4 linked regions of the Oreochromis niloticus genome follow. The protein of the gene in region 1 interacts with the protein of each later gene in a biochemical or structural test. Links are inferred from orthologs where the notes say so. Each region holds a gene or a part of one and is shown on either strand. Other genes may lie near its edges.

What was found.
Region 2: of the proteins of nup62l (region 1) and ogt.1, one has a biochemical effect on the other in vitro, tested with the Homo sapiens proteins (2 studies listed by BioGRID). The link is inferred for Oreochromis niloticus from reciprocal best matches to the Homo sapiens genes NUP62 and OGT.
Region 3: the proteins of nup62l (region 1) and kpnb1 form a complex in vitro, tested with the Homo sapiens proteins (2 studies listed by BioGRID). The link is inferred for Oreochromis niloticus from reciprocal best matches to the Homo sapiens genes NUP62 and KPNB1.
Region 4: the proteins of nup62l (region 1) and nutf2 form a complex in vitro, tested with the Homo sapiens proteins (3 studies listed by BioGRID). The link is inferred for Oreochromis niloticus from reciprocal best matches to the Homo sapiens genes NUP62 and NUTF2.

What each region holds. Positions count from the first base shown.
Region 1 is NC_031987.2:16,402,534-16,410,005, reverse strand, and holds nup62l (nucleoporin 62 like), read left to right. Parts: upstream 1-4,643; 5' UTR 4,644-4,824; intron 4,825-4,943; 5' UTR 4,944-4,949; coding exon 4,950-6,470; intron 6,471-6,561; coding exon 6,562-6,720; 3' UTR 6,721-6,959; downstream 6,960-7,472. Other genes in the region: pdk1 (pyruvate dehydrogenase (acetyl-transferring) kinase isozyme 1, mitochondrial), read right to left, coding at 87-163, 295-372, 480-569, 1,670-1,854, 1,944-2,015, 2,117-2,258, 3,575-3,683. UniProt on the Homo sapiens protein: Essential component of the nuclear pore complex. The N-terminal is probably involved in nucleocytoplasmic transport.
Region 2 is NC_031966.2:27,677,627-27,684,760, forward strand, and holds the start of ogt.1 (UDP-N-acetylglucosamine--peptide N-acetylglucosaminyltransferase 110 kDa subunit), read left to right. Parts: upstream 1-4,112; 5' UTR 4,113-4,422; coding exon 4,423-4,459; intron 4,460-5,817; coding exon 5,818-5,998; intron 5,999-6,698; coding exon 6,699-6,942; intron 6,943-7,061; coding exon 7,062-7,130; intron 7,131-7,134. UniProt on the Homo sapiens protein: Catalyzes the transfer of a single N-acetylglucosamine from UDP-GlcNAc to a serine or threonine residue in cytoplasmic and nuclear proteins resulting in their modification with a beta-linked N-acetylglucosamine (O-GlcNAc).
Region 3 is NC_031969.2:34,683,111-34,690,889, forward strand, and holds the start of kpnb1 (importin subunit beta-1), read left to right. Parts: upstream 1-4,770; 5' UTR 4,771-5,078; coding exon 5,079-5,118; intron 5,119-5,952; coding exon 5,953-6,011; intron 6,012-7,779.
Region 4 is NC_031972.2:6,984,666-6,991,760, forward strand, and holds the start of nutf2 (nuclear transport factor 2), read left to right. Parts: upstream 1-4,095; 5' UTR 4,096-4,231; intron 4,232-4,325; exon of another isoform or gene 4,326-4,453; intron 4,454-5,352; 5' UTR 5,353-5,375; coding exon 5,376-5,474; intron 5,475-7,095. Other genes in the region: tsnaxip1 (translin-associated factor X-interacting protein 1), read left to right, coding at 1-143, 231-344, 628-737, 1,004-1,103. UniProt on the Homo sapiens protein: Mediates the import of GDP-bound RAN from the cytoplasm into the nucleus which is essential for the function of RAN in cargo receptor-mediated nucleocytoplasmic transport.

The sequences.
Region 1 (7,472 bases):
TGTTTATCCAAATGTTTAACATTGGAAAAGAGATATTTTGAAATATAAAATGCTGACATATATGAATACGGGCTTTTAAAAAGCACCTTATAGAGTTCAAACACCATGTGATACAGATGAGATGGAACATAGACCATGGTGACAGGTTTTCCCTTCTCTTTGGCTATCAGGACAAACAGACGATTGGAAAACATTTGATTATGTTACAATTCATTCATTAACCAGTTCACAGTTTTTCCAAAGTGCGGCATCATTAAAACTGTTTGTGTTGTTTCTTCTAACTACATAAATTACCATTGAATTCTTCCAGGACCAGCTCAGGAGAGTTCATGTAATACCGATCACAAAGGTTTCTTGCATTTTCGTAGGCATCTACGAGAAAGTGGTTTGTTTTTGTTACACAACGCTTGCAAACTGGAAGAACAGCATAGATTAACACTTTGCTCCGGCATGTTTCTATAAACATAAAAAAGTCTCACCTCTGATAACCTCGCTGACCCGACAGTGTGGATCAATACTGCCAATCTGTTTGGGGTGTGCAGGATTCACCTTCCCTCCGAAGAGCAGAGCTACAGAAAAACACACAATATGAACAGTTTGAAGTATTAATACTTACTGATATTTGTCTCTGTAAGTTCAGGGTTTAATGTGAGACCTTTTGATTAGAGATAAAACAAAACTGAAGAGCAGTACCATCCTGAGGAGGCCTGAGCCGTAACAAGTTCTTTCAGTGTCACCATGTGCAGGAAATTCTAATAAAATCTTTGGTTGAAATTCCATCCACTCATCACTTATCTGGGTTCAGGTCACGGAGTCCACCCTAAGCAGACATGCCCAGACCTCCCTCTACCCATCCACCTCCTCCAATTTATCTGGGGGGACATTGAGGTGTTCCTAAGGCAGAAGAGAGCCATAATCTCTCCAGCATGTGCTAGGTCTCTTCCAGGGCCTTCCCCTGGTAGGATATACCTGAAACACCTCGTGCACTGATTAGGCATCCTGATCAGATGCCACTTGAACTGGCTCCTTTAGATGTGGAAAAGTGGCAACTCTACTCTGAGCCCCTTCTGAATAACTCAGTTGGGGCTATGTAGCCTGCAGGAGAGAGACTGGTGGTCAGGCCCACTCTCCCGTGGGTCCACCACCCGCAGGAGGGGCCGTAGAGGTTTGGTGCATTGTGGATTGTGGAACCCAGACCTTAACCTAAGAGACCTCAGAGAACCAATAGAGCAGCTGTTCAATTAAATATGAAAATAAAAGCATTAACACCCACAAACAAGCAGCAGCTGAAGGCGGCTGCGGTAAAGACATGATAGAGAATCTCAAGGGAGGAAACACGGTATTTAGTGATGTCCAAAATAAGCCATATTATATTTATTTATCTACAATGTTTTTATAGTGTAACTTTAGGCAAGTGAGCTTGTTTTGGTCTTTGCTGTCTGTAAACAATACACAAGTCATTTAATTTTCATGTAACTGCCAGAAAATGACACTGGGTGGGGTCAGTTGATTCCGGGTTTACTGTGGCAGCAGTTTTAAAATGATGCAGACAGCCTGAAACCTCAGATATCTTATCAGCACAGAAGTCTGGCTCCTGAACCCGAGGGCTTTCATTTCCAAACAAGTACAGCTCAGCAATCACATTACAAAAAATATAACATGTGCTCACTGTGCTGGTTGAGCAGCATCCTGATGGAAATCCTGCTCATGTAGAAGCGATCCAGAAAATACTGAACATTCTGGCTGACGATGGGATCTGTGCCGTACGCCTCCTTGTACTCCACAACGCCCTGAGCCATGGTGGGAATGACATCGTTGTGGCGATTTCTGATATTTATCACAGCATCTGTGAAACTAATTGAAGACATAAAAATTACAGCAATGCGTGAAAAGAATCTGCAGGAATAGATGAGCTGTTGCAGTGGTTAAAAGAGGAAACCTACTCATATGTGACTTTCTCGTCGTCTGCATTTTTGTCTTTGAACTCGAGAATCTCCTGAAGACTCTGCATGTACCTACACGGAGGAAAATGATCTTTTTGTATTTCACAGACTGGCAGGAGTTAAATACTGTTAATTCATTAAAATTAAGTGGAAAAAAAGGAGAACCTGCATACCAGCTCTGGACCAGTCGGACTGATGGGGTCCTCAATAAGTTATCTGGCAGCAAGTTAATCTCCTTCATGATGTTGGCTAGCCTCACAGGTAACTCCTGTCTGAGGAAGTTGAAGGATGTTTTCACACATGCATTTTCTGAACCTGAGAGAGAAACAAAAGGCTCAAATGCCACCTTACTACAGTAAAGGGATAAAGTGTAAAATAAAACAAGACAGCTGTTTCTCTGTGTGTAATATTAAGCCTCAAGTCAGCCTCATTTTTTAATATTTTGCTTGAAGAATGGGAAACAGGTAGAGCAAACATGTGCAAAGATACATAGAAATACAAATACACAAAGGCAAAAACAAGTTTGATAGTCCATACTTCAGCAACACAGCCTGAACTCTCTTTGTTATAGTTTTTCCCCATTTCTAAAGGACATGATAGTCTAAGGAGCTTGGAAAGAAAGCGAGTGGACTTCTGTAAGTTTCTTGAAGAAGTGGGTTTTGTCTTTTAATTTGGTCAAACCTCTTAAGGGAGAACTCCCACAAGGGATTAAATACTTGGGACTCTCGGGCATTTGGTTTTGGAACTGAAGAAGCCTCTCAGATGCGAGGTGAAACGTCTTCAAGACACTTATAGAAGTCCAGTCACTTTCTTTCCCAGCTCCTTAAACTACCATGAACAGGATGACTGAGAACCTACAAAGACATCTGCTGCAGATAGTTTTTATAGTTTTTTAGGCCTGGCACTTCTTTTTTGTTCCCTACTTGTCCAGTTTCCAGTTTAAACAAATGCAAAGATTACTATGAACCCTAATAAAGTCTGTCCTTAGAAGCATTACTCAAATAAATATACACTTTTGCACAATCCTGTAAATGTAACATGATAAAAGTTTTTCCATCATCAAGGCTGGATTACATATCAGATGCAAAACTACCCCCAAACCATTCAGGCTCCATAACCTCTTATAAACTGTAAACTTTCCATAGTTTCAGCAAACTGGACCATTTTCATCATGAAATAGAGAAAATCAACCAATCAAACAAGGGCCTAACCTTCATTCTTACATACAAGTGTTCAAACTTGACTTACACAAACAGGGCATATATTATATCCCATTAGTCATGTGTGAAGAGATACTTTAAAATCCCTTCCTGTTAAATACAAGGAAGTGTAATAAGGGGATGCTAGATGATTTTAAGAGTATCATTCGTCTTGTGAAATACATTCTTTTGGTATCAACTACCTTTACATGACAGAAGGAAAAGCTTGTGTTAGGACTGTTTGTATGGCAGTTATCCTCGGTTTAACTTTACATTAGTTTGTTTTTTCTATTTCCATATTAGTTAGTTTCCAGAATGTGTATGAATCATACACGTTGTATGAAGATTCTCCTTATTTTAGGTCAAAGTATCGTTAACGATGTTAGTAAAGCATTATGTTAGTAAATATCTACTAGTCTTGCAGCTTCTTACCAAAATCCAGAAACTGCTTCATTGATAGAGGGGAGGGTGAGAATTTGGAATAGTAGTCGATGTCCTTCCCTATGGACACGCTGCTCCTCAGAAACCTTAAAATCCTCATGCTTGCACGTTTTGTATTGCCTCACCTCCAGCTGTGACTGCTGCTTAATAAATAAATAAACAAACGGTACTCTTTTTTTAGGTTTAATCGCAGTTAGCATCCACAGCAACAGAGCCTAGCGAGGGCTGCAGCTTGGTTTGCTAATCTGTGTTGACACGAGCTTGTTAGCTAACCTCAACAGCCTGCCAACACACAAATAATTAATGATTTGCTTTTTCTTAATTTGGTGCCGTTTCAGCCTCCATTCTCACAGCTCCAGCACTGTTTTCCTAAATTGCCTTTAGCTTCTCGTGGTGGGATGCCTGGAAGAGGTAGAAAATTGTCACCATGGAAAGGAGAGTGTGCGGCCAGTAAGTTCAAAGAGTCACAGCGACGTCAAGATAAGCTACCTCTTCAAACAAACTTTATTGACCCAAATTTGGTGTAACGTTATTGGTAAACGTTACACAGCCAAACTTTTAACGTTGAAAGAAAATCGAGGAGTTTTTCAGAAGTTCCCGTAAAGTTTGTGAACTGGTTTCTTGTGGTTTTGAAGCAATTTTTTGAGTTAAGCTAACATAGGCGTGTGCAACTATATAGAAAAATATTCGTTTTGCTCTAGAAAAACGTTATAATAACGCGCCCTCTTGTTACTTAAAATTATTTGTATCTTAACTATATAAAACAATGTTCATTTTATGTAACTTTCGATTTTGATGGGAAGTGGGAAGCAGCTCGCACTGCGTACAAACGTAATACCTCTTGTTGTTAATTTGGTCTTTGATAACTTGAGCGTACTACTCTCCGACGTATGTCTGCCAGGTGACAAGCCAAACCAATCAAAGTTCGAGTTGTCTGAAATTATAATTCTAATTGGTCGTTAGACCTGCCAATATTACTAAGAAAGGCGGGTTATACTCCGCTAGACAAAATACAGGGCAAAGAAAAAGGTTATCTTTCACGCCAAACGCCGTCATTTCCTGTAGTTGACTACCGAACTGCCTACTTGAAAAAGTGTCGAGGCGGCTGGCCACGTTTTAAGAAGGATATGTTGCGATTTTTTTATCATTGTTACGATTAAAGTAACATTAAGAAGGGTGTAGTCAACTTTATTAGACCCCAACGTCTAGAAAGCCGTCGTAAAAGAGAAGCCGATTCTTCGGTAAGTTCCCCCTGGTGTGTGTGTGTGTTTGTGACCCGCCAAAAGCCAAATGATTCAGCGAGGAAGTAACCATTTTGTGCGTTAGTCGATTTTAATAATGTTATTGTTTTATCTTTAAGGAGAAAATGAGCGGTCCATTCACCTTTGGGCAGCCCTCTTCGGGCTTTACTTTCGGAACGCAGAAAACCACAGCCTCGGCCCCGGCCCCGGCCCCTACCACCGGCTTTGGACTGACAACGTCCACTCCTGCCACCGGAGGGGGCTTCACTTTCGGCTCACCCATCCAGACCCAGAGCACTACCAACCCCTCCGGTGGTTTCAGCTTTGGTACCCCAGCAAAGTCCACAACAGCCGGCGGGGGTTTCTCTTTTGGGGCACCCACCACAACGTTTGGAATGAATGCAGCTCCTCCAACCACAACAGCAGCTTCAGGGTTGACTTTAGGCTCGACGGCGACTCCAGCAGCAGGGTCGGGGTTCACTCTGGGTGCAAGTTTGTCTGCGCAGACCACCGCTACTGCACCTGCAGGAGGGGGCTTCACCTTTGGAGCTGCATCTCAGGCTCAAACCCAGCCTATAGCAACAGCCGCACCGGCGGCATCCACAGCCCCGAGTGGTCTCGCATTTGGAGGGTTCAGCTTCGGAGGTCCCAAGGTCCAGGTGACATCAGCGGCAGCCTCCACCACCACAACTAACACCAGCACCACAGGTGGAGGCTTCAGCTTCGGCACCAGTGCTCCCTCCAGCCTTGCCCAGCCAACCTCCACCGCTGCTGCTGCTGCTGCTGCTGCCGCCGCCGCCACAACAGGCCAGGGTGGAGGGTTTAGCTTTGGGATTAAACCGTCATCAACCCCAGCTCCTCCTGCATCCACCCAGGCCCCCCCATCTTTCGGGCCTTCTCTCTTCGCTCAGCCTATAACAACAGCTGCTGCCACAGCAGCAGGTCCTGGCTTCGCTTTCAATGCCGTTTCAGCTTCAGCAGCAAGCACATCCACAGCAACAACCACGGCTACTGGTGGAAGTTTGACTTTTATGATCAAACCTCTGGTTCCAGCAACCACCACATCTGCCCCCGCCTCTACCGCTACAGCTGCAGCCTCCACGACGGGTACTGTTACAGGCTTCTCGCTGGGACCCAAAACTGCATCGATCGCAAGCACCACGACAGCTGCTTCAGCCACAACCACAGCCAGCACCACCAGCACAGCTCCTCCAGTGATGACCTATGCCCAGCTAGAGGGGCTCATTAACAAGTGGAGTCTTGAGCTGGAGGACCAGGAGAGACATTTCTTACAGCAGGCCACTCAGGTGAATGCCTGGGACCGCATGCTGGTGGAGAACGGAGAGAAGATCACATCCCTCCACAAGGAGATGGAGAAGGTGAAGCTGGATCAGAGGAGGCTGAACCAGGAGCTGGACTTCATCCTGTCCCAACAGAAGGAGCTGGAGGATCTGCTCTGCCCCCTTGAGGAGTCTGTGAAAGAGCAAAGTGGAACCATCTACATGCAGAACGCCGACGAGGAGCGTGAAAGAACATACAAGCTCGCTGAGAACGTGGACGCACAGCTGAAGAGGATGTCGCAGGACCTGAAGGAGATCATCGAGCACCTGAACACGTCCAGCGGCCCGGCTGACACCAGTGATCCGGTAAGATGACGCCTCCAGTTTTTGATAATCGATAAGATTAACAAAGATTTGCTCACGTAATTCATGTCTAATTTCCTTTTTTCATCATCAGCTGCAGCAGATCTGTAAGATCCTCAACGCCCACATGGATTCACTTCAGTGGATCGATCAGAACTCTGTTCTGCTGCAGAGAAAGGTCGAGGAAGTGTCCAAACTTTGCGACACTCAGCGAAAGGAGCAGGAGAAAACCTTCCGATTAACATTCGACTGATCTGCACTAAATACTTTTACTTGTATGCTTACATTTTTACTCTGTAATCAGAGGTGTCATCAGGGCTTTAGATGGTGTAGATCCAACCCTCATTACTGTTATTTTGAGTTTTCTTGGTTGCATAAAGATTGATATTTTCAGTGCATTTGCCTTTAGAGCAGTGAAAATGATCCTCTCTTTCTATGTCAATTGTTATGTTTGTTCTAAAAAGTCTGATTAAATAAACCTTTGGAATGGAAGTCGTTTTTGTTTTGTTTCTTTTAATTATCAGGCATTAAATACATTCTTTTATATGTCAGAGGGAATGCTTTGTTCACACATACGATGCCCCTGTAATAGCTGAATTACAGCTAAGCATATGTATTTTGAAAAGAGAGGTGTGGATGGAATTGATTTGTTGTATTTACAGCTTTAAGGTTGTACAGTAAACAAAAAACAAACTGTTGATGGACAAGTAAGGCAAACATGAACTTCTACCACGCTGCAGGCCCCTCTGGTGCAGACAAGCCATATCTCTTATTACAAAAGATAACTGTTTTTTAAAGGTTGTCAACATGGCACATTGAACAGGCCACATAATACTTCGACTGAAACGGATGCAGGATTTGTTGCTCTTTAGTTTTTTAGAGTGGCAGCTGAAAATTTTTACATCAGTAATAATTTCCTGCAGGAACCTTTTGGAGATACTCAAAGCGCTTCCATCACAAGGATCAGGGTCTAACTTAAGTTTCTGGGACTTCAATAAAGTGCTA
Region 2 (7,134 bases), on another chromosome or scaffold:
TTAAAGTAAAATTCAACTTCTTTGTGAACTAACACTTATCGTCAGTGTAAATAGAATATATGAGTTTTGAATTACAATGCCTCAACAACGCTCTTCTTCTTTCAGCTGCTCCCTTTAGGGTTCCCCACAACTGATCCTCTGCATCAGTCTCATCCTATCCCCAGCATTCTCCTTTGACATACCAGCCCTCTGCATACGCTCCTTCACTACATCCATGAATCCTCTCTATATTCTTCGCCTTTTCCTCCTGCCTGGTGCCATCCTTTGTTCACTTTAACCACAATCTCACCTCTGCAAATCCCAACTGTCTCAACTTCGTCTCTCTACTCTATCTTTGCCATCTCAACCATATAAGCCAGCTCTCCTTCCACTTACCAGCCATGTCCCCTGTATTTAAAGTCCCTAGTCTAACCTCTACACACCTGTCTTCATTTTTCATTTTATGGCAAACACCATTCCTCCTGATTTATCCAGGATTGGGACTGACATTAGCCGTATACTTGCTTGCAGCTCCCCTGTGGCTGGGTTAGTGCCTCAACAAGGTTACAGCCATAAAAATCAAAAGGATCCATTAATGTGAAACTGTAGACAGGTTCTGAAATACTTGATGTTCAGAATTGGAAAGAGCAGAGGAATGTGAAAATTACTAATTACAGAACAACATGTGTAGAGTGAGCTCATGTTCTGCAGACCCAGGATTTCATAGTGCTCTTTTTTATATGGTATCAATAATAATGCTCCTCTGTTTTAAAGGGAGAAGAGCTAAAAAAGCTTGTTTCGGTTTGTGGATGAGATGAAAGGCTCCACAATTCCTCTGATCTTGAACTGGATAAGTGTTTATCAAATGGATGCAAAGCTAAAGTAGTGGTGACCAAGAATAAAAATATAGAGTGGAAATGAGCATAATACGTACCCGTTTAGGTACGAATGACTGAATGCAACAAAAATATTCAACAAATAAACAAATAACCCCCGAGTAAAGCATTCCAAAACACTGCTAATAATGTGGGTCATCAGCTTGCACTGGATCTTATCCGAAAATAAATGGGCTGAAATAATTTAGGCCACTCATTTGGTGGCAGAATTTTCTGGGCTGGTATTTTAGCAGCACAACGGACTCCAAATATCTCCCAGCTTTGCTGTGATTTTGATATCGCCATATCCAAATTGACGTGTGATCGGACCCCTTGCTCTCGGACGCTTCCTAAAATAGCTTGTGTGAAAGCAGGGTCTGTTGTGCGGAGCTGTCACTGACCCTTTCGGCAGGGGAAGATGCGTTCACACTGACTGCCTTCCTTGTGACCGTAGCCTGCACAAAGATAAAGCATGTCACATTCAATCGCCATAGACACACGGTACCCATGACATCATCCTGTGCACAAGAGGCCGACGAAGCGGTGTGAAGAGTGAGAGCAAAGCAGAGGAACGTGAAGAAGAGCACACAAACCAGGCGCCCTGTGCATGCTTTGAGCACACAGAGCAAAACCAACATGGGCAGTGATGTCAGCTGCTTTCCCATAGAGAGGCTATGGGAAAAAACTGGGGTGCAGCCCCCCTTTTTAACATCTTCTAGCATAAATGGCATATTAATCCCTCACATTTAATTGGAAAAGGTAACATTAAATATGTCACTCAAAGAGTTGTTGTACATAACCACTTAGTTTGAATACAAAACAGTCACTAAATTCTGATGCTGGTTGATGTAAAGCTTTAAAACCATAGAAAGGATTCTTGCAGTTTTGTGAAAAAAGGAAGAACATCTTAGTAGTACATTACATCACATTTCCAACTACAGACACATGTTGCAGAAATAAAAAGATCTAATGCACAGTGTCTTAGGCCAGTCTGCAAGGCTCCGGATCTGAATCTAAGAAATGGGTTTACAAAGGTTGCCCTCTGTTGGTGATTATGAATCCTGCAGAATAGTTGCACCAAAAAGCTGCATACCGTGCAGCTTGTACACCCAAGCTGACTGCCTGTGCTGACAAAGGTTTTTGAAAACCAATTTCTATCTTAATTAATTCAGAATTTATGCTAAAGCTACACCTATTGTGTTGGGGAGTCATGCAGGTATTGAAATTAGAAATAGATGGAACGAAAAACAACAAAAAACCCTGTACACCCCCACCCCTCTTTGTCCCACAATGAAACAATCCCAAACATTAAAGAAATTATATGGCTTAACATTGTCCCTAACAAATATCTGGAATATGTGGAAATTATTTTCCATTCCTTAAATTTTTCTACACTTTCAGCTGATCTGCTCATTAAAGTATGCACAGTTGTAAAGTGTAAAGTATTTTCCCCCCTTCCTGATTCCTTAGGTTTTTGCATATTTCTCACAATCACATGTTTCAGATCATCAAACAAATTTTAATATCAGGCAAAGATAACCTGGGTAAATAGAAAGAAAGAAATTTATTAGGGGAAAAGTTATCTACCTTCCTCCCCATGATGAACTAACTGTGATTAACCACGTTTATCAAAAATAGTAAGGTCAGTTTCTCCTGCCACACCCAGGCCTGATTAATGGCCTGTCGAACCAAGAACTCACTTAATAGAACCTATCGGAGAAGTGAAGTTTGCTAAAAGATCTCAAAAAGTAACGCATCATGGAACGATCTAAAGAAACTCGAGAACAGATAAGGAACAGTCACTGACATTTATCAGTCTGGAAAGGTTTGGAAAGCGATTTCTAAGGTAATGAGACTCCAGTGACTCACAGTGAGAGCCATTATCCACAAATAGAGAAAAAAATGGAACAGAGGTGAACCTTTGCAGGAGTTGCCGGCCTACCAAAATTACTCCAAGAGAGCAACGATGACTCAGCCAGGACGTCACAAAAAACCCCAAATCAACATTAAAGAACCGCTTCACACGTCTCAGTTAAGGTCAGAGTTTATGATTAAAAAATAAGAAAGAGAGCTGGGAGAGTTCAAGGAGAAAACCATCGCTGACCAAAAAGAACACAAAGACTCGTCTAACAAAACATCTTGATCATATATTTAGGAATTTAAGGAAAATAGTCTTTGGACTGACAAGACAAAAGCTGAACATTTGGGAACGTTTGAGTCCCGTTATATCTAGCATAAAACTAACACAGTATTTGGTCAAATGGAGCATCATACCAGCAGTCAAATACTGTGGTGGTAGTGTGATGGTCTGAGGCTGCTTTGCTGCTCCAGGACAGGGACGACTTACCGTAATTGATGGAACTTTGAATTCTGCTCTCTACCAGAAAATCCTGAAGGAAAATGTCTGGCTAGCACTTCATGTCCTGAAGCCCAAGCCTGTTTGGATTATGAGTGGGACAATGATACAAAACACACCAAGTCCACTTCTAAATGACTTAAAAAATAAGAAAAACAAAAACAGAAGCAAAATAAAGATATTTTAGTGGCTTAGTCAAAGTCTGGATTAAAAACAGGTTTCGAGGGCATTTACTTTTTCACAAATTGGGATTTATTTACTAAAATAAATCATAATTTATCTCATTAATCTGTGTCTAATATTAAGCTTTGCTTGATGATCTGAATGATCTGTGACAACTTGTTCACAGTACTGTATAATTGCATAATGTAATTCTTGAATTGTATTTTAGGTAACATCACTACCACTTCAGTTTTTGCGCCTCTTTTATCTACATAGCACAGCCGCGTAGATCTTCAGCTGTACATTGCGTAATTTAAACAGAATCCACCCACTGTTATATAATGTCAGTGTCTCACATTATTCTCCTTCCGTGTTACCGCCAATCTGCACGCCAGACTCGTGCGGCTGTGGTAACACGTTACAATCCATAGATGATCTGCCTCGTGAATCTTACAACCGGTTCTCTGCTGGCTTTTTCCATTTGCACTCCGTCTCACTGCACCAATGTGTTCTTCCGCGCAGCATCGTTCCTAATGTGTTTTTTAAACTTTAGTAAACAAAGAAATAACACGCGATAAATGAAGAAAAATGTAATCACAAATCTTCTGAAATATTTTTATATCGCTAAGTGCGATATTTATTACAGTTTTACACACGTGTCTCGGTAACGGCGGTGAACGGATCTAGTTTATCTCAAAAACGAGTTCCACCCATCTCGCCATTTTATGATTCACTGCTGCTTTGTTGGGAAGGGGAAGCTAGCAAGAGCCATTTAACAAACAGCACGTAACATGTTAGCTTAAAAACGACCTCTTAACAGCAAGACAATTGATTGGGTATTAGCCAGCTGATACTAACCACTGCGAGATCTACATTTGTCGCTTTAGGGGGGGGAAAAAAAAAAACATACGTTAGGACATTAGTTTAGCTAAATCTGCATAGCTATTCGGGCAGCGTGTTTGCTGCTTGTCGCAATTTTTTTTTCTCTGAAATTGTTATCTGCTAGAGGACACATTGACGACCACCGTGCAAGACTCGAAGACCGAGGAGATGGCGAGCTCAGTGGGAAACGTGGCCGACAGCACAGGTTTGCTGTTTTTATGCAAGTAATTCTACACAGAAGGCAACAAGGCAAGCTTCAAAGACGGTGTCCTTGTGTAGGTTTTTCCCCCTTAGATGCGATCGAGCTAGTATCTAACAAATAGACCTTAAAAAAAAAAAGAAAATCGGTAAACCATTTTAGCCACGTTTTTATTAAATTTGTCTTTTGTCCAACGTGGAAGAACATGTTAGTAATAGCAACGCGGGCTCAAATTTCTACCTCGCATCGCGACAATAAAAGCGCTAAAGCTAACGTTAGCGTAATTTAGCGGTTAGCACAGGTTTGCGTCGAAGTAGCCGTAAATTGTCTGCTAGTCACACTTTAATGCAGACGAATCAGCGTTCCACGAAGGTGCTTTAGCGGTTTGCTCGGGGTGCACCATTTTTGTTTCATGTTTAAGGGTCGCTGTAAAAGCTAAGTTAGCACAAAGGGGCTTGATGATGTCTTTGAAATTTGTAATCTGGGGGCCTTGCTACTGAAGTTGGCCCCGCATGCCTCACCGCTTAGCACAGATAGCCTTTAGGCTAATGGTAGCATTTATCCCAAAGGTTATCGGCGATACTGATACCAGAATGTTCTGAACCCCGGCATTTACGCGCATTGTGACTGGTGATTTAAGCAATTTAAGCTATACTCTTTCCACAAGTAATGTTACGTAAGTGTCATGAACGCTTGAGCAAACCGGATCTACTGCATTATTAGCCCTGCAATAAAAGTTTAACTGTATGCTGTGGCTTTGTTTTCTCTGCCCCACCTTGGAGTAACTATTTCGTTTTGTTGGAGCAGAGCGTTTTGATGTGTTCACTACCACTGTGAAGTGGTAGTTATAAAACCATAGTTGTATGTAAAACTATTACACAAGGCCAAAAAAAATTAGAAATTGTATTAGAATAAGTTACAATAAAGTAATCTGGTGTTTTGTTGTTGTTGTTTTTTTAAAAGTACATATTTGATATGTGAAATTACTAAACATCCAAAATGTGTTATGGAGGGTTTTTGCCAGAACTTTTCACACCTGTTTCATCCATCTGCCTGCCTGTTTTCCCATCACACATTATTTTCCTCCATTTTTTTTATTTGTTAGACTTTATTGTGAGTCCTACAAACACAATAAAATGTAAAATCCCCAAATGTGTATCATGACCCCCCCCCCCCCCCCCCCCAACCCCAACCTTGTTTTATGTTGAGTTCAAATTGTTAGTCACTCTTCTTAAATAAAAGCATTTGTCTTTTTTTCCTCTAAAAAAAAAAAAAAAATTCTGTTATCATTTGTCTGATTTTAATTTTTTCCATCACCTCTAACGTGTCGTTTTCCCCCTCCTTGGCTTATGTTGGTGCTCCAGAACCAACAAAACGTATGCTTTCCTTCCAAGGGTTGGCTGAGCTGGCGCACCGGGAGTATCAGTCAGGGGATTTTGAGGCAGCTGAGCGCCACTGCATGCAGCTGTGGAGGCAGGAGCCTGATAACACAGGCGTGCTGTTGCTCCTGTCCTCCATCCACTTCCAGTGCCGAAGACTCGACAGGTGAGGTGTTGGGGGGGTGGAAAAGCACACTGGGCATGTGAGCAGTAGCAGAGAAAAATGGGTCGTCTTGGCTTTGAGTGCACACACTGGGGAGTCCTGTGGAGCAGCTGGGCTGTCTTGTGCAAATCCTGTTATGTGGTTTAACTTGGGTTTTGTGCATTTCTGGTGGTGGGAGTGTAACCTTTCTTTTCAGGTGCTTGGGTCTTTCAAGTAACATGATCTAAATGCTTTTTCACTCATTTCAAATCCTTAAATGTGGACAATGCCAGTAGCATTACAGTCTTGTAATGCTGTTGAATTTGGTATTTAACCATAATATAAATGCTAAACTTAACTTGCATGCTTTTGTTGTTGACCCCAAAAACTGTTGGTTAGTAAAAATGTTCCATGACGGCTCACGGGATCAGATTGAACATGGTGATCTTCTTCGCAGTATTTTCATCATAACTTATGTTGGGCTGTACTGCCTGCACGAGAATTAGTTTGCATAGTAGACATTTGAATAAAGAGTTTTGCTCAGGTGCTGTGGCCCATGTTAATGTGTCTTGATATTTGGGATTTTCATCATATTTGACAATGCATCTTAAACTAATTTTCTGTTCTTTAACATCTTGGGCCTTGCTGTTGTTTCTACACAGCAGTTTGAACCAACTGTGTCAGCTCTGGAGTGTAACCGTTTGTGCATAATCTTTCCTTGCAGGTCCGCTCACTTCAGTACCTTGGCCATCAAGCAGAACCCAATGTTGGCTGAGGCCTACTCCAACCTGGGGAATGTGTACAAGGAGCGTGGGCAGCTGCAGGAGGCAATAGAGCATTATCGCCATGCTCTGAGACTCAAGCCAGATTTTATCGATGGGTACATCAACTTGGCTGCAGCTCTGGTGGCCGCAGGAGATATGGAGGGAGCCGTGCAGGCTTATGTCTCCGCATTACAATACAACCCAGTGAGTTAATTTATTTTTTCTAAATTATATGTGCCAATGCCCTATACATGTATTTAGTTAGAATGGCCACAAATCGGCTGTTTATTGAAATAGTAATTTATTTTTTTTTATCTCCACAGGATCTATATTGTGTGCGCAGTGACTTGGGGAATTTGCTTAAAGCCCTCGGGCGTTTGGAAGAGGCCAAGGTAT
Region 3 (7,779 bases), on another chromosome or scaffold:
GTATCGCAGGTGACCTTTGGCCATGTGTGGGTTGTGTTCAGGTGTTCTTCCTCCCTCTGAGCGTGTGCGTGATCAGACTGATCACGCTTTTTGAAACTGAGCCTCAATCATCCCTGTTTGATTTTATACTTGTGTCCATCACCTTCGATCAGCTTCCTCTGATCAATCATCAGTTTTCTCAGGAGTATTTGTTGTCTTTGATTTTCTGTTTTCTATTTATTTTGTGCCACAGCAGCGCTTCCATCCACTCCGATTGGAGACATTCCTGTTTTCTGGCTGCTCACACTCCATTTGATCAGCTTCCTGTCGTTGCATCGTTCAGATTACTTTGAGAAATATGAATCTGTTTGCTGAAGAAACCTATTTCTGCCAGGAAAAGAAAAACATGGATGAACAGTCCAAAATCGAGTTTGCAGAAGCACGTCTGGACTTGTTTTATAAATCCTGTGTGTGTGTGTGTGTGTGTGTGTGTGTGTGTGTGTGTGTGTATAATCTTGCTTTTGTTTTAATAATCTTAATTTAGCATAGACTTATTTTATCATATCCCTAGTTTTTCTTATGATTTGCCATCAGTTGATCTTGTTTCTTGTCGTGTTCTTGACTCGTCTCAGGTTATTTCTTAATTTTAGTCACTCTGTAGTTGCGACCGAGAAAATCAAGATGATGACTTTGGGTCTTAAGTTGTTTCATTCATGAAGCGTTTGTTTTCTTGGCTTAAATGGGCTTCGGTCGTTTCTTGTGGGCGTCAGTTATGAAAAAGCATTCAGTTGTATTTGAGCAAAGTTTTGTTTTGTTTTTTTTCATGTTTCCATGGATAAAAGCAGGGAATTTCAATTATAAAGTCGCACAGATGTTTCATAAATGACGTCCAGATGCTCAGCTGTAACTGTTGGGTTTATTTTTCTTGATGTATGTGAACTGCCTGAGTTTCCTGTGGGTGGAGGGTGATGTTCAAAATGTTTTTTATTTTGTGATGTTTGTATTTTAAGATGTACACGTCTGCGACACATCAAATGGCCGATCAAATCACAGCGGTTTTAATGACTAAAACTTACTTTCAGGATAGACTAGAGTAAATGGATTGCCTTGAGCCAGCTGGCAAGTTGGTTAGCTGCAGTCAGTGCTGCTTTACCTCCGCTGCTCAAATATCACTCAGACTATTAAAACTAGTGGACAAAAAACGTCAAATTAGTGAAAACGTCCTCTAGCTAACCCACATTAGCGACAAGACCCTTTTTAATTTAGGGATTTATTGTTGTTAGCCAGCTAACACGCTAACACTAGCTCTTTAAAGATAAAAATAAAAACTAAAGAATTGAGTAAATTGCATAGAGCAAAATAGCTAATAATATAATGTTGGAACTTACATGAGAATCTGGACAGGAATATTAAAACCTGAGGGCAGGAAATAATTTGTCAAGTTAATTTATAACAGCTAAAGATAACAGAATTAGTTTTAGCTAGCTAAATTATTAAAGTATAAACTAAAAAATAAAAAAAACAAAACACTTTTTTTTTGTTAGGGAGATTTTTATTTATCAATAAGCTAACAAGCTAATTCTGTTTAATTTTAGCTTTGAAACTTGTCAGGAAAATTCCAAAATAAGCAGGAAAAGGGTTGGATTTATCAGACTAGCTGAAGTTAACTGCAAAGGCTGTAGAGGTTTAGGGTTGGCTGGGTAAGAATACCTGATACTGTTAAAGTTTAAAAAAAGAAAATGAGCGGGAAAATGGCTACATTCTTTAGGCTAGCTCAGAGGAGCTAAAATACCCAGAGGTTTAGCTAACATTGATTCAGAACTTGGTCAGAAAAATAAACGTGGAGGAAAAGATTAACCAGGTCTAAAAGTTTAGTTTTTGTTTGTTTGATATTTTTGTTTTTTTTGTTTGTTTTTTTTGTAATGATTACATTCTCAAGCTAATTGGTGTTAGCTTTTTGGTTTAGAGTAAAGTGTTCACGTCTTTCTGGGGACATGATCGTAACTGTTTACTGTCTGCTATTAGTCATTTTCTGCTGTTTGTTTTAAATATGTTAACCGTTGCCGGTGTTCAATTCTTAGGAAAAAAATGCAGCATCAGCACCTTCTGTTAGTTGGTATGAGTGAATATTGCAGCGCTGCAGCCGAGGTATCGCAGTGTTTCCTGCAGCAGTGCGTCGACTTTGGGCTGCTACCGGCTGTGAAATAAAAGTATTATGGGTAAATTTCAAATCGCCTGTGACGCCTTGTTGTGCCATAAACGCACCAGATCAACTGTCAGCATATGAATGGGTCATTTTTTTTTTTTAAACATATTTTATTTTTTCTATTTGATGAGGGGTTTTTTTTTTTTTTCTTTTTTCTTGTTTTGTTTTGTTTTGTTTTTTCGTAGGGGTGGCGCCTCGCATGCTCTCTGCCGCTTCAGCTAGCAACAAATGAGGAGGTCAAATGTGACTGGACGATAATTGCTAAGTAATGAAAACTGTTTTCGAGTCGGACACCTGCGCTCTCCTCTTAGTAAAAACTGAATCATGTGGTGTTTGATGTCCTTTTTTTTTTTTTTTTAAAGATGCACTGGATCATCATCTTCATCTTCACCTTTTGCCAAATGTAGTTTTTGTTGTGAAAAGGGGCATTTTATCCTGTTTTCCCTCTGTTGGGTTCTTTTTATACTTTGTCCATGACTCTTCCATTGTGTTGATGTTAAAAAAAAAAGAGGAAGATGTTGGAACAAACGGTAAATAGACACAAAAAGACCAACTCAAGGCAGCTACGTATGAGTGACTACTGTAAAATGACTAATAAAGAAGCAATGGGTTTGTTTTTCAGCTGTGTCTCTTTATTCAGCTCGACGTGTTTTATTCAGACTTTTCCTGCGTCACTTCACCTGCACTCACCTGGCTGTGGCCTCTCTCCTCTAATTATATATTTAAAAAATCAAATTATGGAGCACTTTCCTCAAAGTCCTAAAACAGATCAACACAGAGTCAGACACACAATCATAAATGTGTCAGTATGAATGTCTGCAGCTGCTTTTAGTAAAAACCTCTGAATCAAAGTCGAGGAGTGACACCCAACCCCTCTCTCTCATATATATAAAATTTAAAAGCAGAACATTCTAAATATCCTGTCACTGACTGGAGCAGACCGGGATGAACACAGGAGGTTTTCTGGGTTTCCGGCTCGTGCTCGAGTTCTCCAACATCGTGGAAGAACGTATGACTCTGGTGTTATCTGTAACAGCCTGTTCTTGCAAATCCAGGAGCCCTCCTCACCAGAGCCATGTCTACACCTGTCCATCACCCATCAGTCCGAGTCCAACTTACACTGGCAGCTGCAGGTCGGCCTGATGATGTGTCCATGCAGTGAGGTGATATTTCCACCAGGGCCACAGAGCGCTGTCACAGTTCAGTTTTATTCATGTCGCTCTGAGCCATCACGACGGTGTCTTGAGACCTTTTAATCGCGCCTGGTTTCAGAACTCGGAGATGATGATGGAGATGCTCGAGGCTTCGAGACAGGACCGACTAACAACAAGATTCCGATCTCTCCTTCAGGAAGTCCTTTCCTTCAGCAGCACTTCTTGCTGCCCTCTGCATGATTGACCTGAACGATCACTTTCTGGTTCAGGCCTCACCACCTCCTCGCAGCTCGGCCTCCCACCAGAGATGAGGAGTCCAGGCAACAGAAAATAAAGTGAGCTCTCCTTTAATGGAGGCCACAGGCAGGAGGACGGAGGAGGAGCTTGAAGATCGAAAGGCTTTGACGACCTGAGGAGAAGCTGCTGACAGAACTGCTGACTTCCTGTAATTGCTTTTATACAGCGCTTTCATGTGACGTCATTGTTTATGTTTTTGTGTGTGTTTGGTGTCTTTGTCTTCTTCCTGTTTCACGTCAGTCTGAGGACAGAAAACATGACATTGTCCTGCAGCAGGTTCAACGACACACTCACAGACACGTGATTTCAGCACAAACCAGCAGCTGGAGCGCAGAGCAGCTACAGGTACCAGTACAAGTACTTAGTTACTTGCAGGAGAGACTCCGTACGCCGAAAAGAAGCCAAGAGGTGCGTGCTGCTGCTGCGTTCTGTGTAGCTCGGAATCCACAGCATCAAAAGGGATCTTTGAAGAAAGAAAACGTTTTCAGCTGAGCAAACTTTAGCACAATTACTGCGCTCAGCGTACTTTTTCCTCCAAACGTCTCATTTTGTCAGCTTTGGGCTCCATCCACCTCCCATCGGGAGGAGGCCCCGGGGCAGACCCAGGACACGCTGCAGAGATTATATGCTGACCTGAGAACGCCTTGGTGTTCCCCCGGATAAACTGGGGAGAGGGAAGTATCGGCCTCTCTGTTTAGGCTGCTGCCCCTGCGACCCCGCTCTGGATAAATGGAAAAGAATGGATGGATGGGTTCTAGTGGGAGGAAGGCTGGAGCCTATCCCAGCTACCAATTTAATTTAATGGAAAGGTATTTATAATACTAACAGCTGTTCGACTGCAATGTAAAAGAAAATATTTTCAACAAATGAATGAATACATAAAAAATAAACTGTGTAGAATGAGATATTATGTATTTGTGTAGTTTAAAAGTGATGTATGATATGTATATTTTCAGTCATCAGCTCCTGCTCCTTTTCAAGCATGGATGCAGTGTTATTTTAATTGAAAGGAAGGTTTGTGTGTAGGAAATGAATTACTGTTGCACCATGTGTGAAACAAAAATGAAATGAAATCTCAGTGTACTGAGACAGGATGATATGGTGTCCGGCGGTCCCTAAAGGCACCACGTTTTCGGCGTCACTGCGTGATATCCCTCCGCGGGAGAGAAGCGCGCGGCCCTTTCCCTCCCTGTAGCACAGGATGCGAACGGGCGGAGGTGAAGAGACGAGACGTGACTCTGCGCCGACGCTGTCAACATTTCCCGCAACATCAGAGTGAGAATACGCCGAACGAACACCGGGGAACCTCCGCCACCTGTATCACCAACTCAACCCGTCCTGTGCCTGACAACGACCGAGCTCCGTGGAAGAAATATAATCCACTGTGGGCGCTGCGCGGCAACCGAAAGTGTCGGACTGAAGAGAGGCAGCCGGGGGAAGGAATGGAGCTCATCACGATTCTCGAAAAAACCGTCTCTCCGGGTGAGTCCCTGCACCACGCACCGCACACAGCCGGCGACCCGGACCCGATGCCGAACCCCGGGCCGGGGGGTGCGGTGTTTGCGAGACGGCGGGCTGCCCCGGAGCACGGGGGAAAGTTGGAAGCAGGGAGGAGGGAAACCATGCTAGCTCACTGTGCTAACCCGCTAGCGTTACGGCCTGACGCCGCTGGTGACTTAGCACTCTTCCGGGCGTTTAAGCACACTTTACTGGCATTGGTAACTCGTTAGCCTGTGGACGGGAAACCAGAAGACGCTGTCATATCGTCATCAAGTCGATTCGGGCCCACATAGGCCGTAATGCCGGCTGTATGTCCCCAATCAGAAGCCGCGACCCTGCCCATGCCCGGGTTAGCCGCTAGCTTCTTCGCTAGCTCGGGCCATTCAAACTGTCGACCGCTTTCTCGGTGTGTGCTCCCGGGTAACGCCGCTTTAGAGTCGCCGCGGGTACAGGCGAGCGCTCTGGTTGTGAGGTGACCTCTGCTCCGCTGCTTTAAGCGGAGTTGACGAAGTTTTAGCGGCTCCGCTGTTTGCACATAAAACTTCATGCGCGTCTCTGGAAACGTGTCGGCTAGCTTTAGCCTGCTAGCAGAGTGCAGGTGGCTAGCGCGCATGTTGCAGGGTCGGTGTGCTTCTCGGTACCACAGAGGGCTCTCACCGGGGTGGGAATTAAACTTTCTGACTCTGAGGTGACTCATTAGTGCGGGACATCGACCCCGGGCCCAGGTGCTTGTGTGTGAACGTCTGCTGAACACGTTTAACCACCGTGTGTTAGCCCGTCCGCTAACCAGCCCCCTCCTCTCTTCTCTGTCCGCAGACCGGAATGAGCTGGAGGCGGCGCAGAAGTTTCTGGAGCAGGCGGCCATAGAGAACCTGGTGAGTATGGAGGGAGAAGCAGTCGGAGCTCAGGCTGCTGCAGGAGAGGAGCGGACTGGGGCCGAGGACTGCTGGATCCCGCCGGCTTTTCCTCCTTCCTCCTCCCCTTCCTCCCTCTGCACAGGCGCACACGAACACACGCACACACACTGTTCATAAATGTGTCACAGTGAAAGCCTCTGTTGGCTCCTGATATGACCGTGCCAGGGTCTGCATGCTTCAGCCACTTCAAGGTCTTCATCAGAGGGCGAAGGTGATGCTCCCACACTTCTGCATACCCTTTTTGTGGTCCTGACCTTTGACCTTGCCCTCACATACTATTTAAGTACAGATGTTAACTTCAAGCAGAACAGGAAGTGGTTCGTAGCAAGTATAAATATGTATGTCCAGCGACTATATCTCTGTAAACACCCCGTAAACGGGCTGTTTCTGCTGGTCACATGACAGCAGCTTTCTGTGACCAGGTGTGACCGGCAGGTGTGAGCAGGTGGCTCTCTGTGAAACATCAGTGTGAGGGTCACAGCTGTTCCAGGGTCTCTGTGAGGGTTGGAGGCCGTCTCCACGGGTCGCTCATCTTCAATGTGTGGTTAGTTTTGACTGATATTCTGTAGTGAGGGCGGGGCTTGATGAGTTAGGGTGATGTGGGTACGTGGTTTACTTGTTACTCAGGGAAATGTTTAAATGTGCTTACAGATGTGGTGACTGGCATGTACAACTCCAACTAAAAGGTGCAGATGGTGGGGGAGTTGGGGTAGGGCCGGTGGGGTTTGCAGTAAAGCCGCCATGGGGCCGTGGCGGTGTGCGGTGTAGTTTGTGACCACGTGGGTGCTGTTGTCACGTGTCACTGGGAGACCAGGTGAGCCATCCTGAGCAGCAGGTTCACCTGAAGAAATGTGTCTTCCTGTTTATACGCACAGACACTCCTAATGATCGTCAGCTGCGTGAGGTGATGTCATCGTCGGACCAATAAAATCAAAGACGACTTTCTGTAGTTTTTATTTTGTAGTTTTTGTAGCGTCAAGAAGATAAATATCAGACTCTGTAGTCACATGACCTCGGTGTTAGAGACAAAGGTGAGAACAGTTACCGTTTATCTTGCAGTTATAAATGAAGCCCCGCCCCTCCGCTTTACAGTGTGTTGACAATAAAACCGTAAACTCGGCAGAGTGTAACCTGACCAGGTCCATAACTCCTGCCACACGCCGCCATTGCGGCCCGAGAGACCACTGATCTAATATTTAAAACTGACTCAGTTCAAATCCAGATGTTTCAGCTGGATCGTGGTTTCTGCATGCTAAAGAACATCTGCATACACACAGTGTGCTGCTGTGGTCGTCTGCTCACTGCAGAGGAACAGGAAGCTGTCTGTCCAGAGAAGAATAAATGTTCTCGTTGGAGCTGATTGAGAGCACCTGGACACCTGCGTGAGGCGTGACGCTGATGGCGTCCTGCAGACAGAAGAAACGTAGTTGGCAGTTCTTTGCTGTTTGCCTCTGTCTGCGTGTGCTACTGCCACCTTCTGGCAGCAGGAGCACGCTGCATCCTATCAGGTGTGAGGGGAAAAGTATTTTAGTACAAAAATATCTTCACCTGTTTTCTTCTCTGGTCTGATGTTAGTTGTAGCTCGCCGTCCTTCAGCCTGAAGCAGAGCGACGGGGTCAGGTGTGCCTCACCTGACTGGCAGGATGTCTGGAAGCAGAGTGAGCGATCCGATCACTAAGTCTGTGTTAAATGCTCCGCCCAGCAAACTGACACAGACTTCATGTTG
Region 4 (7,095 bases), on another chromosome or scaffold:
TGCAGCTTGCTCTAAAGGTGTGTCGAGAAGACCTGAGGAACGCCCAGGAGGAACTGAACAGGATGAATGCAGAGTACTGGGGTGTTGTGCCCCAGTGTGACTGGGACGCCCTTGAACAGAAACACCAACGGACCGAGCTACAGGTATCTCATGCTGGATACTATATGTAGACTTCATGACTTAACATCTCAACAGTCTTTGGTGACTTTTTTTTTCTTTTTATTGTGAAGTTGAAGACACTCCAGGACGACTTTGATCAGTTAAAGAGTGAGCATGACACTCTGCTGGAACTCCACAAAAGAGGCAGCATGCAGGCCAAGACACACGTCTCAACCTCTGTCCAGGTACTTTACGTATGTAGAACTTGAACAGATTTTCAATCCTATGAATATTCTAATAAATGTAATGTGTGTGTCAATATTTGTCTCTAATCTAATAAATGTCACCTGATAAAGCTGATAAAGAGCCTAAATATGAATAAATTAGGGTCCAGAAGATCGATACTGCTATTCCAGCGTTAGAGACAGCTTGACATAAAGAGTGGAGGAAATAATAATATTTGCAAAATGTCATCGTAAACTGACAAAAAAAGTAGCGACCAAACATTGCCACCAAAATGTTTTTCAGACTGATGAGAGTGGGTCCCAGTGGCAAAGCCACATTCAGTCCCAGCAACAAGAGGAACCAGTCACCTCTGATGCCCCTGAGAGCAACATGTTCCCTGTCCATGAGTCTAGGTGATAAAAATAGATATACATTGAAACATACACACATATGCATGCACACACAAATAAATACTGGATGAGTCAGTTTTATTTATACTGAATAAAGTCATAATTTTGCCTCAAGGGGCTTTAAAATATGTGCAGCATACATTACTGCCTAGCCTTATACCATCAGTTCAGATAACCCTTGAAGGTTATGAGTAATTTTCTGTGTCTGGTTCTGTTTTACTATGTCAAATGAGAGCCATGTGTATATATGTGTGTGTTCATATGTATAGGGAAGCCCACAGGACAACATATTTTGGAGAGGAAACGGATCTACATGTGGCCTCATCTCAAGGTGAAGCAGGCAACAGTGGTGATCCCATCTCCTCTTAGAGCCTGGGTTTAGCGGCTGGGGTCTCAAGTTTGAGCCTTGATGTAATTCACAACATGTGATCAAAATTGTGAAGATGCTGAATTAAATATTAGAAATTGTGGCCACTGGGATACTTGTGAGTTTCCAAGCTTTACCTTCAGCTCCTTGACAATTCAGTGGAAAATGTACCATCAAATCTTAAAACCACTTTCCTAACAGTGAGTGAAATACTCGTATAGTATTCATTCTGTATTGCAACAGTTCAATGATCTTATTCATCTTATTCACACAAATGTAAAACAAATGTAAGAACAATGCCCTTCACCTCTTTTGTTCTGGGGAAAATTAAAGCCTTGTAAAATCAGCCAGAACTATTTTCATTTGTTCCCTGGAAATGGTTAAGTGTTTTTGTTGATTTTTGCTTTGCTAACTGTGCTAATCAGGCTAAATGCATCTTATTAAAATAATTTTAATTCATATTACTTTCTTTGATATGGTATTAAAAGGGGCCTACTATGCCATGTCCATTCATTTACTACATTCATATTCTTCTCCTTTAACAGAGTATCTTTGCATGACTGACAGTTCAAAATAATCCCTGTTTATTTTATTCTGGGCCTTGGTGGAGTCCTTCACTTCATACTTTCCTCTTTCCTTTAAGCAGACTTTCTTCTGATTGGCTGCCCCTCGAAATCAGAGCGTTTGAAAAGCAAGTGGGTGGAACTTCTGTGTTCACAGTTAGTGTGCGCTTGAGATGACCTTTTTAGGGATTAATCCCCATTCACTATGAAGCCATACATATTCAGGAGAAGAACAAATGTAGGAGAAGGCATTTAGAGCAATGACTCACAGCCACGTATATTGACTTTAACATTGAAAACTCTGGCCATGTTTAAAATGAGTATCCAACATTGTAACACAATATGTATGACAGAGAATAAAGAACTGAATAATGTAACATTTTTTGAGCCTGTTTAAAAAAATACATTCATTTACAACATCCAAGTCACCAGCTCTGATGCTGCTTCCCCAGCACACCACAGCAAAGCACATTGTGCTCACTACAACTGGCTGATGGAAAATCTCCGTGATTTTGCTCTCGTTTTGCTCTCTTCGTTAGGAAGTAGAGCTTGCTCATCCTCTTTTTGGATACAACTTCTGTGTTGGTCTTCCAGTTCAACCTGTTGTTGATATGGATGCCTCTGTATTTGTACTCCTCCACCACATCAGCATCCTGTCCCAGGATAGGCATGGGTCAGTTGTCCTCTTTCCTCTGAAGTTGATCGCAGTCGCTCTGGTCTTATTCACATTTGGAAGCAGATTAATCCTCCCAGGTCAGTCCATTCACCCACTAGTGCTTTGTGCTCCTCTTCCCACCCACAGCTAGTACAGCCAACAACTGCAGAATTGTCAGAGTATTTCTGTAGATTGCATAGACCACAATTGTACTGAAAACCTCAGGTGTACAAGGTGAGCACAAATGGAGATGACACAGTTCCCTTTGGAGCTCCTGTACTGTACTGTCCAGTCTCCCAAATTGCAGTCTGTCGGACAGGTAATCATTAATCCAGGAGATAGTGGACAATGTTCGTTCATATTTCTGGTAGCTTCTGTATTCGAACTGCAGAGGGTCACGAGATGTTTTCACTTATGTTGGACAGTACTTATCTCTCGACAATCTTCATTAAATATGATGTAATGGCAAGTGGTCAATAGGCTTTAAATTCTTAATAGTGTTGAGGTTTTTGGTACAGGAACTAGACAGGATGTTTTCCCTAATACTGATATCATCTCCTGTTTCAAACGTTGGCTGTAAATGTGACTCAGGATCATGGGCAGCTGGCTAGCACAGGTCCTCAGCACCTTGGCGTTGATGTAATCAGGCAGTTTTGTGTAGCCTATTAATGGGAGAATTTTAGTATTTAAACATGTGTTACTTGTAGCTTGAGAGTAGATAGCAACACATGTAGTAAAATTAATTTCTTTCAGGACCAAAACAAGGAAAGCGGTGAGGCTCAGTGACGTTGTAGTCCATGCTCTGCAGAAACAGATAAGTTAATGTGCTGCTAATGGTAATATGTCCACCCCAGATAAGCACCTTTCTCTGCCAGTTTTATATTTCAAATGCTGATAGCATGTTTGAAAATGTCTTCCAATCTTTGACTGTTAAAAAATGCTTTGCAACCTAGGGCTCAATAAAAGATTCCCCAATGCCCTGATATTAACAGGGTTATTATATAATCTCAAGGATTTATTCTGAGAAGGTTCACAACCCATATGAGCTGCACTTCATTTGTAAAAATAATTCAGTAAATAGATAGATAGTTGCTAACTATAGAAACTAACTAAAATAGTAAGAGAATAGATTTATTTATTTCTGTGTCAGTGGTATTCATCAAGTGTGCATTTAAATGCCTTTTGATTGACTGTACAAATATAAGGAATCCAAGAACTGGCAACTGACAGTAACCCCTAATATTGAATAAAACTCAAACAAATTAGTATATTTTATTTAATTATCGAAACCTAATTTGTGCAATGTAGATCTGATGTTTTTAACAAACCAGGGTGTGTTGGTTTGTGGATCTATTTGCGGTGGCCTTTACTGCTGCTGACTGCAGAAATAAATCGTGTTTGGGTAAAAAGCTTTGCTTATGCGTTTTTTCTCAGTCTGGTGGACTCAGCAACCTAACCTAAGAGAACAATAAAGGCACAAGTTACAAATTACTAAATCTGTTTTGTGCTGCAAATTGATGTCATTTTAAAAGCTAATGTAATGTAAGTGTTCTTGCTGGACAGTGGTGACTGTAGCACATTTAATCTTTGTACATCAAATAAAATAAAACCATTTTTGACTTACCATTTTTATTGTCTGTTACTCCATGGGTTTTTATTGTTTTTTCACTTCAGAAATCATCAAAACGTGTGATTTGGAAATGACACACTTTTAAATAGACATATCTTTATATAGTATGTATCAGAATGTGGCAGTATTATGTCAAATGTGACAGACGAGCAAATTGAGCGTGTTTTGAGTATATACTACAATCCCCATAATGCATCGGGCCTTTTACGGCTTTTTGTACGTACCCTCGTAGCGGAGCAGACATTGCACTGTGCGATCGTGCAGCCGGCCTCGGCGTAAGAGGTAAGTTTTTATTACTAGTTTTTATGGTGCCCCCTTACAAAATAGTGAATGGAAACATGTTCGAAAACAAAAAGCGCTAGTTTAATCTGACATTTGAACAAGCCTGACGCGGTATAAGTTATTAAATCGGTTGCTATTGGCCGGTTTGGGGCTAACGACGGACACGCCTATGTAGAGTAGCTGCTTCGGGGTTCCAGAGCTGTGCGCGCGGGCCCGCAAGAGGTATGAACACTCAAAGCAGACGGGGTATTTTTAGTAACTGGTGAACAGGCTACTACCAGCTGGCCGATCAGCTAACGCCTGGAAATATAATTTATCTGACGCCTAACATTGGCTGGCGAGGAGACATGCTACGTATATGAACTGTCTGTGCTAGCACAGGCTGAGTCAACATTAGCAAACATGACACAAGCTAGCAGCAGCTAGTTAGCTAGAGTTAAGTAGTTAAAAATGAGCTTTTTCGTACATTAACGTTACTTGCTCATGTTTCCTCAATCTCCCTTTACTTCTGACTATATTTACGGGGCCCTGAACTACTTATGTGTGGTCGCAATTCGGGGTATGTTGCTCGCAGTCTACTGCTAATGTGCAGAGCGCTCGGATTGTTCCAGTAACAGCCGTGTATCGTTATGTGGGAGCACATGACTTGGGCTGTCAGTGTCACCCGAGCGGAGGGATCCGTTGCAGCAAAATATACTTTGGCTCATTCAGTATAAGTAATTTTAACCTTTATTTTTGTCAATGAAACAGGATCTATATGCTATTTTTTTGTGGTCTTTAGTTAAAAACATATTTTTCTTTTAAAAAATTTTAACAAAAATCAAAGCAATGTGTACTGTACAGTCTATTGTACTGTTCGCTGCTTTAAGAGCTTGATTCTATAAAACAACATCATCCCAGAATACTGTCTTGAATTATGGTAGTGAGGGCTGTCCAAGAGGGTTTTCAGAAATCTGAAGCTTATGTTGACATCTGGTGACTATAAATTAGTTTTGATATAAGTGGGAGGCTGCTGGTGGTGGTGGTGGTGGTGGTGCTGTTGTTGTTGTTGTTTTTTCTATGCATTGCCCTTTTTCTTATCTCATTACGTTTGTCTGACTCGCTCTCTCCCACACGCTCAGTGTGAGTTGCAGGGTGATTCAGGATGGTGGACCAGCCTTTGTGGGAGCAGATAGGATCCAGCTTTGTGCAGCACTACTATCAGATGTTTGACTCTGACAGATCACAACTGGGATCTATATATGTGAGTTGGACTTGTCTTATGTAGGTGTTTATGAGTAAACACTTGCTGTAATAAGCTCACTTTCCTTAATTTCGAGTTTGTAATCCTTATGATTTAGGATTTAGGTATTGTCCACTCAGGTCACTTTATGTATATGGCACATTTTAAAGTGTTTTACAAACACATAGCTTGCATAACAGACAGGCAGCATATTAAAATTTATAACTGAGAAATATGTCAGACAACAGTTAAAAAAAATAAAATATAGAAGTGGCAGACAGTTCGAGAGCCTAGGGGCAATATTTGCAAAGTCTTGGTCATTTTTAGATTTTATGTGAGAAAAGGACACCAAGAGAAGTTATTGTGATGATGACCTCAGTGATGTGATGTGGAGTTAAAAGATCTGTAATATATTTGTTGAGCTAATCCATAGAGGGCTTTAAAACAAATAATGTTTAAATATATTCAAAACTTTGCAGGTTGCCAGCGCAGCTTAGCTAAAACAGCTTTGCTTACTCGTACGAGTTGAGCGGCTGTGCTTTGAACCATTTGTAAATGAAAGAAAGTGCAATTGGGCAATCCTACACACAGGGAATTGCTGTAGTCCAGCTGAGAGGTGATAAAGGCATTGATAACTCTTTAGTTCTTTGGATACAAAACTAGTTTTCATTTGGTGATGGTTCTCAGTTGGTGAATGTTGTCAAGCGGCTTTTGACAAAATTCCTGATTTGATTGTTAAAAGTTAAGGAAATAAAAGCACCAAGATTTTTAATGACAGTGTCGACATATCTGGATAAATGAGCAAGTAACTCAGTGAAGATGTTTGTGGGGCTGGGAGGGCTGAATAAAATAGCCTCAGTTTTGCTGTCATTTAGTTCTAAACAATGCGACAAGACTGAGTCAGAAAACATGGTGAATGAAAAGAATAGTGTTTTCTAAAAAGTCCTTAGTTTTTGTGTTGATTTTTACCCAAACTCACTCCTGTCTACGTAGTAGCATGTTTCGTTTAGTTCACTTTTTTTTTTTTTTTTGGTTAATATGCATATATGAAGTTAATTTCAAGTTTAAGGGAATTCACTGTTAGGAAGCCTTTTAAAATAAATAAATAGATAAATGTTTCTAAAGTCAGTGAATAATTGTCCAATATTGACCAGAATATATCTGGATTTTGATAATCGAGCGGTCTAGACATCAGCCTTGCATTGTCAGACTTACTCCTGAACTTGTGGCTTGTGGTCATGATGATTATTATTTGGAAGCATGTCGTTTTCACTCGCACATACCATGCACATGCCAAGCCATGGATCTTTGGATTGAATTTTTTTTCCCTCTATAGTTGAGAACTTGTGATTATATAATTACAAAGTGCTGCCAAAGGCACAAAGGTAAACAGTTTGTCAATAAGTTCTTAGTTTAGTTGACAGAAACTGTCACATTTTGTGTTCTTTGACTCCACCTTTTTAAATGTGTGGAACTTCTGTTGAAAATGGTTTTATTTTTTATGATGGAATTGTATTTATATATAATAAAATCTGTCTTGAAACAAAATAAGCAGTCTTGTCTATACATTGCACAGGTATTATTAAATAATCAGAACATTGAGTAACCCCTAGCTTTAGCCCTTATGTCATTATATGGCCCT